2 linked regions of the Drosophila melanogaster genome follow. The protein of the gene in region 1 interacts with the protein of each later gene in a pairwise test. Each region holds a gene or a part of one and is shown in the gene's direction. Other genes may lie near its edges.

Region 1 (4,076 bases):
CAAGTCTTACAGTTAAAGATCATTTTCAATATGTCGGTTTCGGATCTGATTGGTGCCCTTGATGCCATTCCCAAGCTCACCGTTCCCGAGTCTCTTGTGCCGGAAGAAACTTCGGTTTTCCTGGATGCTCCTGAATGGCTGACCGAAAGCTATCTGCAGGATGCCTTGCGCAAATACTACAAGGACCAACTCATTAGGATCAACTGGGTCAAGGTTAATCCTGCCTTGGGCAAGGGTGAAAACTACGGTGGAGTCCTCACCCGTGTGAAGGCACAGTTCACTCGGAGCGATGGTAGCTCCCAACTGGGTCACTACATTGTAAAGTCCACATTTGAGGGGAATGAGTTCGCCCAGAATGCCATGAAGCCGTACGACATCTTCAATCGTGAGATGATCATCTACGAGCAGGTCTTGCCCAAGCAGAAGGCCCTCCTCCGGGAAATCGGTGATGCGGAGCAGATCTTTGCCGAAACCATGGCGGTGGACATAGATAACTCGGCGCTGATTTTCGAAGATCTGAATGCTCGTGGCTTTGTAATGCCGGATCGCTTGGTCGGATTGGACCAGAAGCTAGCTCGAATTGTGCTCCGTAAGCTGGCCAAAATGCATGCCACTTCGGCGGTCCTGAACGAACGCGAGAACCACATCCTCGAGAGCTACGATCGAGGGTTCTTCAACCGCTATACCGATAACTATGAACCAGCATTTGTGGGCATGCTCCAGGCGGCCACTAGGCGTGTGGCTCAGTGGCCAGGATACGAAAAGTACGCAGAGAAGTTAAAGGCTCTGGTGCCCATCTACATGGAACTGGGCAAAAGAATCTTCGACATTAGTCCTGGGCACATTAATGTCCTGGCTCACGGAGATCTTTGGACCAATAATGTGCTGGTTAAGTACGACAAGCAGACCGGTGAGCCAATTGACGTGGTTATTATTGATTTCCAATACACGGCCTGGGGATCGCCGGCACTTGATCTGTTTTACTTCATGAACTCCTCGTTGGAGTTCGATCTTCATCAGAACCATCAGGAGCAGCTGATTGCCTACTACTTTAGGCATTTCGCAGATACATTGAAAAAACTGCAGTACCGATCCACAATTCCAAGCTTGCATCAGTTCCACCAGCAATTGCAGCAGAAGAAATTCTACGGTGAGTTAAAATGTAACCAGATTAGACCTTCTGTTGCTAATTACCAAATTCATCTCTTGATTTTCAGCTGCCCACACATCCATTTCGGTGTTTCCAGTTCAGCGAAATGTGGAAACAGCAGATGCCGATTTTAATGCCCTAATGGAGAACAACCAACGGGCCATGAATTTCAAGGATGCCTGCTATAGGAATCCGATTGCTCAAAGGATCTTGCGGGAACTTCTGCCTGATTTCGAGGCAGAGGGTCTTCTTGATGCCGACCAGTGAGAAATCTTTACAATATAACTGTGTTATGTAGTATTAGCTAGCCAAAATGTATCCAAAGAAAATTATATATTAAGTTAAGATATTTTAGTAAAGTAATATAAAGCACATTCTATATACCACTTGTAATAAAACTAACCGTAATCATATCAAGCGTTTTGTTTACCTTTCGTCACTTCATTGGATGGGTCATTCTGACACCGATCTAATCAGTAGAAACTATAGTAATCGAAAAGGTATACATATTGCTTTGATGTGGTTTGTTTTTTTTTTTTTTAACTAAGTGCTTAGTGAAATGAAGATACGATGTAAAGATCTGTAATGAAAGATACCGGTTTAGGTGCAATGACTTATAAAAGAATACTAATTGATAGCTTTTCTATTTATACCTTGACATGGGATCAGCCCCACCTTAGAGGTTACAACTGATTATCGAACAGTGGGTGGTGGTGTATACCCAAAGCTTGAGCAAAACATTTTGAAAGCTCGAGCATTTTGCTTAAAATGGGACAAGCCTGTAATAGGGTTTTCCATAATAAACTACAACGCCACTCAGAATAGTCGTGGCACTTATCTACTAGATTGTGCAACAGCGAGCAATATGACTGACAAGTTAGATGCGGAACAATTTAACGACGACGAACTAGAGGCACCTGCTTGGCTGAATCGTCAATTTATAGAGGAAATTCTGAGCGCGTACGAAGATTCCCCGGAACTAAAAGTTGTCGATCTTAAAATCACACCCGCAAGTGCCCAGGGAGATCACTATGCCAGCGTTATGTTCCGAACAACTGCAGAGTGTACCACCGCGAAGGGAAAGTTCAGTAGGCCACTAATCATCAAGGCGATGCCCGAGCAGGATGGACACAAGAAGGATATGCTCAGCGAATCGCATCTATTCGAAACCGAGATCGGAATGTACTGCCAGGTTCTTCCGGAATTCGAGAGAATTCTGCGGGAATCCGGAGACGATACAAAGCTATTTGTTCCCTGCATTTACCATAGCCTGGAGCCGCGTAAGGTGATGATATTTGAGGACCTTGTGCCCCAGGGATATTATGTCATTCGAGACCGTCCGGTTGCTCAGGAAGAACTCAAAACAGCCTTTGCTAAACTGGCCAAATGGCATGCAATTAGCATGAAATACATTAAGGAGGTAGGTTTAATTTAGGTAATTATGGGAGTTCTATATTCCAATATGTTTTTGACTCAAACAGCAACCTGACTTCCTAAAGGAGTTTAAGTATGGCCTCTTCGAGATGCCCACTGTAAAGACCGACCCTTTTATTACAACTGGCATGCAGAGCTTCATTGAAATGCTGGACAGATTACCAGAGCTAAGAAAGTATAAGCCTCATTTCGAAAAGATAAAAGATAAGTACATGCAACGACTACAAGCTGTGATGAAGGAATACCATGAAAATCGAAAGAGTGATGCCTTCTATGTCCTCTGTCATGGTGACTTCCATCTTCGCAATATGATGTTCAAGAACAACAAGGGGACGGGAGCCCACGAGGATACCATGCTGGTGGATTTCCAGATTAGCAACCTTTGTCCCATCACAATTGATCTCACATATTCCATCTATATGCTGATGGAGCCGGAACAACGCAGAGAAATGGGAAAGGACTTGATTAATCACTACTTAACCGTTTTGGTTGCCACCCTCAAGAGCATTGGATACCCAGGTGAACTGCCAACCCAAGCGAAACTCTGGGATGAAATCCATAAGAACAAGTATTATGGTGAGTCAGCCACTTATCAAAAAATGAATTGTGAAAAATTATAATAATGCGTTCTTTAATTAACTTTTAGATTTCTTTTTGTTGAGCACTTTTCTGCCCTTGATTTTGGCCATCAAATCGAAGAGTTTTAAAGTGAACGACCTTATACAGGATCCGGAAACCCGCCAAAAAACCTACTTTTTGGATACATATGTTAAAGATGTTTCCAAACTATTGCCGAAATTCGAGCAACTTGGCTACTTTAAATGTCTATAGCTCTCATTTATTTACATAAATATGTTGCCCTTATTTTGTTTATTCCATTATTTTGTTTTCCGGTTGAAATACATATGTACATAAGTACTTACGAAAGGAACATTTCTTCCAATAAAAGATTATTACTGAAACATGAAACGGAAAGACTTTTTTCAGCAAGGATACAACAACTTTGCTTATCACCTCCACTTTTGTTTGGCCTAAGTTGAAGGCCTAAACAATGTTTTGCAAAGTTTATTGGAAGGAATGATAAGATTAAGCAGTTTGACGAGCAATTGAAATATTTTTAAATATACCTTAATAAATTAAAAGCTTAATAAAAGCTCCTCAGGTTTTCTTTAAAATGATCGTCACTTGACAGACTTATTATACTGGTAGTTCGCAGAGCTCTCGGAACGGTTATACTACTGATTCTAATAAAACCCAATAGAACATTTTGAAAATGGAAGGCAAAAATATTGAATATAATGCGGACGAACTTCAGGCGCCAGCTTGGCTAAATGCTCAGTTTATCGGTGATATTCTGAGAGAGTACGAGCAACTCCCGGATCTTAAAGTAACCGATCTGCAGGTATCACCCGCCACTGCCCAGGGAGATCACTATGCCAGCGTTATGTTCCGCACCAAAGTGGAGTACACAACACCTAAGGGAAAGTTCTTC
Region 2 (8,094 bases), 1.9 Mb from region 1:
ATTAGTTGGCTTTGGCTTTAGCTGCTTTTGCTTGTAATTTGCAACACGAACGGACTGGCGCCATATTTGTTTTTGTTGTTACTTTGGGCATGTACATGTGCATGCGGACGTGCATGTGTTGGTGAGTGTTTCCAATTTGAATTGAGAGTGCAGCTTGCACACACGTATTGTGCAAAAAAACAAAAAGGAAAAAACAACACGCCGAGATGCAGTTGCTGCAACGTCAGCGAATTCGAATTAATCATCGGAAACGAAAATGCGGTTAAAACCCAGCTGGCTAACAGGGTGCGAGCGAGAGGGCGCTAGCCTATAATGAGAATGAGCCAGGGCCAAAGGCTGACGTCACAACGGCACAGTTAAAACACACACAGGCACATTTGACACCATTTGTTGCTCTCTCTCTCTATCGCGCTCTGCTCACTATTTTAATTAATTGCGCTGCGCTCTCTCTTGTTTTTGTTGTTTGTTTTTTGTGTCAGTGATAAGAGGGCACTACTAATCGGGCTATCTTTCATCATTTATGCGAAAATAGGAGCAGAAAACAAAAACTGTACCTTGGGTTTGTTTAGCCAGCGTTTAAACGTGTCCATCGCAGGAGGTTGTTTCTTTCCAGCTGCAGCTCCACAGTTGTTGCTCTGCCTCCTCCCCTCCTGCTCCTGCTCCTCGTCTTCTCCTCTTCCGCTGCTCTTTCTTGTTGTCCTTGCTCTCGCGCACACAAACACACGCACTCACTCACTCACTCACTAGCACTGTACACCAACACAAGTGCGTACGAGCCAAACAAAACAAAGAAAAATGCTATTTGTTTGGCAACTGCTAAATGCACATTACTGATTTTAACACTTATTGTGAATTTTGTTTAAATGCCTTGGCCTCTTCGCACTTTGCTTTCCTGCCTTTTGTTGTTCTGCTCTATCTTCTTGCTTTTTCACTTTTCGTGCTCCTCACACGCGTGACTCTGCGGTCGCATTAGGTGGAGCTGCATTTCCCTCGCGGAAACTGCGTCGGTTGTCCTGTGGCGGCCTGCAGAGGCAGTGCGTCAAAGCGGAGGCTGACCACTCGAATGTCGGGCGACTCGGATTGCAAACTTTTCCATTAAACTCGCGCAGCACTCATCCGCCCTTCGCGTTGCGATGCGATTTCCGTCGACAGCGGAGCGTCCGTGCGTTCGCAGCAAAGTTTTTTTTTCGATTAATGTGACCAGTCGGCGGGGTCTGCGATTAGTACTGCCAAGAGTATGGCGCTCTTCGGTTCGGGGGAAAATGCTGAGGACGTGTAAAAACTATCCTACACCGTTCACACTAGCAATGCGATATTGTTGTACTGTTGGATTTTCAATGTTTGACATAAGCTTATAGCTAATTGTATATCTTATCACTAAAGTTGGTAAACTGTCGAATTCGAACTATTAACATTCGTATTTGCCAAAATCAGCTTAGTATAAACACATTGAATAATTTTAATCAATAATTAATTAATGATAATAATAATAATAATAAATTAATAATAATAATAATAAAATAATAATATTAACAATGATAATAATTAATTATTACATAATATATAATGTTGTATTTCACATAGCTTAATGAATAAATTAGAATGGGTACAAACATTTACGGCTTGAAACGCTTTAAATTTACTCAAAGTTCGAAAGTGAACTAAACTTTAGGCTAACAGGTTCGCTTCCCCACTGCTTGTCCGTTCGAAAAGGTTCGAGTGCGCACTGTCCGCCAGTGGAGTACCGCACCCTGCATTCGCCTCGCACATCTGTCATTTTTTAGTGCCATTCAAGTTTCGCTGGCGCTTTCGCGTCGCTTGGTCACTAGTGTCGTTTTCGTAAGTTGTTGGGGTGGGTTAAAATCCGCGCGCAGAGCTATAATTTTATTCCTGGAAAATCGTCGTTGTCGCTGACCGCGTCGCATTGCAAAGTTACCGTACGCCACCGAAAGTATTAGCCCTTTGTAGCCGGACAACTGTCAAACGGATTTGACTGACACAAGAGCAGTGATATTAGCAGCGCAACGGAAAGCAATTATACGACATAAAAATGTTCTCACGACCCAGGTAAGCTTTTCTTTTTCGTTTGGTTTTTTATGCAAGGACTCGCCTCGAAGGATTTGTGTGCGCGTGGGTGTGTGTGTGCCTCGGGCGCAAATTATGTAAGATTTCACGATGCGGGAGGAGCAACTGCCCCAGCTGGTAGCCCAGTGACCTAGTCACTCGGATCAGACGAGCGGCCGCCAAGGCGTCCGTGTATATATACAATATATTCACATAGTATATCATCCCATTTCCCCTTCTCTTTTCCTCCTCCTTTTGCTGCGCAGCTTTCGTTTTCACTGGGAAGCGCTATGTGCGAGCGAGAGGGATTCCGATTGGGAATCGCACATGGCCTGGCATTGACCCTTCGGCTTCCCTCCCTTTCTCGCACTTGCTGGTCCCGTTCGGTGAACAGCTGTTTTCAGAATTTTCACTTTTCCCTTGCAATTGCATAAGCGTTTTCGAACATGCATGTCTTCGTTTTTTGGCTGCCAAACAAGAAACAGCTGAAAAAATCAATGGGCTGCAGAGAGAGAAACGGGGTGCTACGTATCATAAGTATATGTGCTTTAATTTTGCTTTTCTTCGGTGGAGGAATATCGCCGCACATAATTCGTATGAATTTTCTATGATTCACAGTTGGATAGGAAGTACAAATACGAATGTATTCCATTGTTTAGTAGTATTCTAAGAAAAAAAAAGGAATGGAAAGTTTATCATCATACTTTTACAATCGAAAACATTTTGTTTCCTGTGTAGCGAAAACACAACACCTTCAATACCATGGACATGGACATATATTCGAAAGATGGTCTGGCGGAATTCTAAATTTAGTGCATATACCGAAAAAATGTGTGCTTTGTTTCGCCGCTGTCAGCGTTTTTCGTTGCCAAGTTCATCAAGAATGTTTTCAGCTGGTCTGCTATCTTGCCTCTCGTTCCCACGCAAACCGTTAGCCAGAAATTTGGCTAACAAAAAATGGAAAGACGTAAAGAGTTTAATGAACTTGCCCAGCTTTTTCCTTCAGACTCCAGTTCTTAGGGCTTTTAAGACCCTAAAAATAATTATTGGTAGCACTCGGAGTATGGGGGTATCATTTACGACACGCACTTATTCCGTGTATTTGGCTCAGATATGCGAAATTGTTTAGCACTCGACGTGGTGGGGGCTCATGTGAGTGCCATTCAAATAAATGGAAAAAATTGACGAGTGATAGCGTTACCTAAACGATAATTATCAACCCAAAGTGCTCGCCTTTTGTCGGTGCAAGGGATCTCGGGGTTTCCAGCCCGGCGCACGTCACTAACCGGTTTCAACTTGACCAAAATCCAGCAACGACACCGATACCGACCCTCTGCCAATCCCAATTCCACTCCCCGCGAGCATGATTCCATCAATGAACCGCAAACACAAATTAGTCACACGCCTCTGTCCCGCGATATTTGCCTCTCTCGTAATTAGCACCATCTATTCGAACTGCCAGCTAGCAAAAACCAAACAGCAGGGGTCAAAATTATAGGGTATCTTATAATATATGATCTTCGCTTGGCACTTCGATTACAGTAAGAGTGTTGCATAATCAGAACCTGTTTTTAATTAACTGATCTAGTCCGTTGGGGTCCATAATATTGTATATTTTTGTAAGCCCTTCACTACGAGTTGTTAGTTTTGCAATCTTATCTGGGGGTATTTACGCTTCAAGAACAGAAAAACATTTTCAAGTTCAATGATCCAATTGGTTTTGTAATTCATTAAATTGATACGATCACAAGTAAGTGCACAGAAAATTACCTACTTTAGTTGTCCCTAGAGAATAAATAATAATGCACTTCAATCCAAGCTGTAGAACTGAACTTGTAGTTTTTAAATATTTTTTATTCTAAAGAATTTAGATAAGTTATTTATAAGAATTTATTACAAGTTATTAAGATTCTGAGGATTAGATGCTAGATTTATGACCGCGGCTGTGCATAGATTTTTATCGTGATGTTGCCAGGCCATCCATCCCCCTTATCGCTGGCGCTTTGGATTCCGGGGGACAGCTGTAAACAATGCGGCTTAGTTTCCTTCTTTTCTGCTTTTCATTTTATATTTTGGCGTGCCCAGCGCGGTGATAAACAAAAAGCAGCTGATGTCGACCTTGGGCATGGCGTTTTTATTCCATAAATATATGCATATGTGTGTGTTTGTGGGTGGACAGAGGGGGCCCCCCCATTGCCAGTGGCAATGTCAAGAATGACAGTGGGCCCACCTCAAAGTCAAGGGTTCCCAGGGGGTTCTCCAATTGCCGCGCTGATAAAGTGATTCACGTAATGCACTTTTGCAATTTGCAGCTTATGTGGAACTGTGGGCAAATTGTGTCGATGCGGCACTTCAGCAACAGGAAAGACTGCTGTGGCAGCAGCAACAGTTCCCACCGCTCGACACTATCATGAGGTGGTGGGCGATATCATCTGCCCGTCTCAGGTGCGCGGCATAGATCACATCCGTGATCCGCGACTCAACAAGGTAAGGAGCACTAAATTAATTGTGTGACACTTTTGTTTTGTATAAACAAATGCTTTTGTTTCTAGGGCCTTGCCTTTACACTGGAGGAGCGCCAGACTCTGGGCATCCATGGGCTGCAGCCAGCGCGCTTCAAGACGCAAGAGGAGCAGCTGCAGCTATGCAAGATCGCCGTAAACCGCTACACGGAGCCGCTGAACAAGTATCTCTATCTGAGCGATCTGTACGATCGCAATGAGCGTCTGTTCTTCCGCTTCCTATCGGAGAACATCGAGGATCTGATGCCCATTGTGTACACGCCGACGGTGGGCTTGGCCTGCCAGCGCTTTGGCCTGATCTACCGACGTCCTCATGGTCTGTTCATCACCTACAACGATCGAGGACACATCTTTGATGTGATGAAGAACTGGCCGGAGCCGAATGTGCGTGCCATCTGTGTGACGGATGGTGAGCGCATCCTGGGACTGGGAGATTTGGGCGCCTGCGGCATGGGCATTCCCGTGGGCAAGCTGGCCTTGTACACGGCTCTGGCCGGAATCAAGCCCCATCAGTGCCTGCCCATTGTGGTGGATGTGGGCACCAACAACATCGATCTGCTGGAGGATCCCCTGTACGTGGGTCTGCGTCAGAAGCGAGTGGTTGGTCGGGAGTACGACGAGTTCATTGACGAGTTTATGGAGGCCGTGGTGCAGCGCTATGGCCAGAACACTCTGATCCAGTTTGAGGACTTTGGCAACCACAATGCATTTAGGTTCCTGGACAAATACCGCAACACCTATTGCACTTTCAACGACGACATCCAGGGAACCGCCTCCGTGGCCGTTGCTGGGCTCTATGCCTCCAAGCGTATTACGGGTAAGTCCTTCAAGGACTACACCTTCCTGTTTGCAGGAGCCGGTGAGGCCGCCATCGGCATCGCCGATCTCACGGTCAAGGCCATGGTGCAGGATGGTGTGCCCATCGAGGAGGCCTACAACAGAATTTACATGGTCGATATCGATGGTCTGCTGACCAAGAGCCGCAAGGTGGGCAACTTGGATGGCCACAAAATCCACTACGCCAAGGACATCAATCCGATGTCAGATCTCGCCGAGATTGTCTCCACCATCAAACCCAGTGTATGTTATAACAATTGTTATTTCTGATGGAACTTTTGGTAATCCTAAACTAATCAACAGGTGCTTATTGGTGCCTCGGCTGCTGCCGGCATTTTCACACCGGAAATCCTGCGCACCATGGCGGATAACAATGAGAGGCCCGTGGTGTTCGCCTTGTCCAATCCCACCAGCAAGGCAGAATGCACTGCCGAAGATGCTTACAAGCACACGGATGTAAGTTATTTTCATTGGATATTGTAATGACCAACTAATGAGATGATTGAAATGCACAGGCTCGCGTGATCTTCTCGTCGGGCTCTCCCTTCCCACCGGTCCAGATCGGTGACAAGACCTTCTACCCGGGCCAGGGCAACAATGCCTACATCTTCCCAGGCGTTGGCTTGGGCGTGATCTGCACGGGTACTCACCACATACCCGACGAAATGTTCCTCATCGCCGCCCAGGAGTTGGCCAACTTCGTGGAGCCCAGCGATATTGAGCGCGGATCGCTGTATCCTCCGCTGTCGAGCATCCGCAACGTGTCCATGAACATTGCCGTTGGCGTGACCAAATGTGCCTACGATAGAGGTAAGATACCAATAGCATACCAATCTTGGTGGAACAGAAAATATAACTAATTTGGATTATTTTTGTAGGCTTGGCATCTACCTACCCTGAGCCACAGGACAAGCGCAAGTGGCTGGAGAATCAGCTGTACAACTTCAACTACGAGAGCTCGATGCCCGCTTCCTGGGTTTGGCCGCGGATGCCCTACATTAAGACTCGTGATTTAGTCCCCACAAAGCTCTATGGAAAACAAAGTGAAAATTAATTTCTTTCTTTATTTTATTCTAGGCGAAGAAAGCCCGCTCATTGCCGCCATCAAATAAAATAGCATTAATGCGTTCAACTGGTTGATGGCACCGTTCTGTTTTGCATCTAACACACTCTACTACTTCCAAGCGTACACCATCAGCACCAAGCAACAAAACAACCAACCGACTACTAACTACCCTAGACTAGATAAATTTCCAGTGCTCACTCTTTTTAAATGTTTGTTAATCGATCCGTTGGCATCGACAGTCAAACTCAGTCGCAACTAAAAAATGATTAAAATGTTTTTGATATTAAATAATTAGAACACCTAACAAGCTGCGAGGTCAAGGGATCGGTTCTTAAATGTATTTTCAAATTGTTTAATAGTATTATGTATGTATGCCATGTTTTTATATATGTAAAAATTATCATGTTATTAATTTTGTGATACCGAAACGTACGATACTAAATGACGACATTGACATGACGACTGTGACGGTGACTACGCCTTCGAAAAAGCAATTACGCAGTATTCTATTCTATCCTATCACTATCCTATCTGTATTTAATCTATGCTATGTTTATGGTTTGCTGTAACTTAAACACCCGATTGGCTTCGCAATTCCATTCCTCGCCGCTTGCCATAGCTATCCCGCATTATAAGTGTACCCCAGCTTCCGATATGATCTGCTGTGTCTACTACTACTACTAACTCTGACGGCGGCATCAAGCGAGCTCTGAAGCTATACTTATTTATCAAATTCACGCTTAATCACAATCCACCCGAAATTCGACAATTGATTGATTTATCTATTGCTATATGCTCCTTTCGTTCACACACAGAGAGCGAGGAAGTAATGTAAATTATCGATTACCCCCCTACAAACCGACCGCCTAGAACAATTGGCTAGACAGCAGAGCTAACTGGTGAGAACAACCCAAACAAGCAAACAACCAAACAACTAAACAGCCAACCATCCAACCGATTCCACATGTAAAACAACTTAACTCGCTGCCGTTAACCACCACCAACTATCTAAGTTAGAACATTATGCTTTCTATCGATTAGTTCACTTATATCTGTAGATATATTCGAGCGACGATTATGTTTGTTGTTTAGCCATATCTGATATTTATTAACGCAATTAAGCAGCTTTGTTATAATTTATTGTTAAAAGGTCGAGCCTAATGTATCAGTAACTAGAAAACCTAACCCCTTATGATCGATCGGACCGATTCAGCCATTGTACCACTGACTAGATGATGATGATGTGCGATAAACAATAAAACGAAAACACAAGTTAAACACTCTCGATCCTTTATGCCAATTGCTTGCTGGAGATCTCTTGAGATCTGGATTGCCCCTTTGTTTTCAGAGCTTTCGAGAGAGTTTCAAGATTGTGTGTCGGCAAGAGAATGAGAGAGAGCGGCTTGGGAACGCATTTGATTTTAACTCGTTTTGTTATTGTCTCGGGTAGTATAAACAAATGTTTGAAAATATTCGGATATTTCCATAAATTGTTAATTCTATTCCGGATCACGGGGCAAGAAGCGATGAGATTAAAGCTCCGATTTAAACTCGATTTCGTTCTCTCATCTGCTGCTGCTGCTGGCGGTATAAAACGCAACTTCT

What was found.
Region 2: the proteins of CG31300 (region 1) and Men-b interact in a two-hybrid assay, tested with the Drosophila melanogaster proteins (one large-scale study listed by BioGRID).

What each region holds. Positions count from the first base shown.
Region 1 is NT_033777.3:25,281,676-25,285,751, forward strand, and holds CG31300 (uncharacterized protein), read left to right. Parts: upstream 1-1,944; 5' UTR 1,945-2,015; coding exon 2,016-2,570; intron 2,571-2,631; coding exon 2,632-3,160; intron 3,161-3,230; coding exon 3,231-3,415; 3' UTR 3,416-3,549; downstream 3,550-4,076. Other genes in the region: CG11892 (uncharacterized protein), read left to right, coding at 31-1,150, 1,218-1,417; CG31104 (uncharacterized protein), read left to right, coding at 3,858-4,076.
Region 2 is NT_033777.3:27,149,840-27,157,933, forward strand, and holds Men-b (malic enzyme b), read left to right. Parts: upstream 1-1,822; 5' UTR 1,823-2,050; coding exon 2,051-2,067; intron 2,068-4,376; coding exon 4,377-4,551; intron 4,552-4,616; coding exon 4,617-5,666; intron 5,667-5,726; coding exon 5,727-5,879; intron 5,880-5,938; coding exon 5,939-6,233; intron 6,234-6,301; coding exon 6,302-6,466; coding exon of another isoform or gene 6,467-6,477; exon of another isoform or gene 6,478-6,500; coding exon of another isoform or gene 6,501-6,535; exon of another isoform or gene 6,536-7,304; coding exon 7,305-7,324; 3' UTR 7,325-7,764; downstream 7,765-8,094. Other genes in the region: CG6051 (uncharacterized protein), read right to left, coding at 555-590.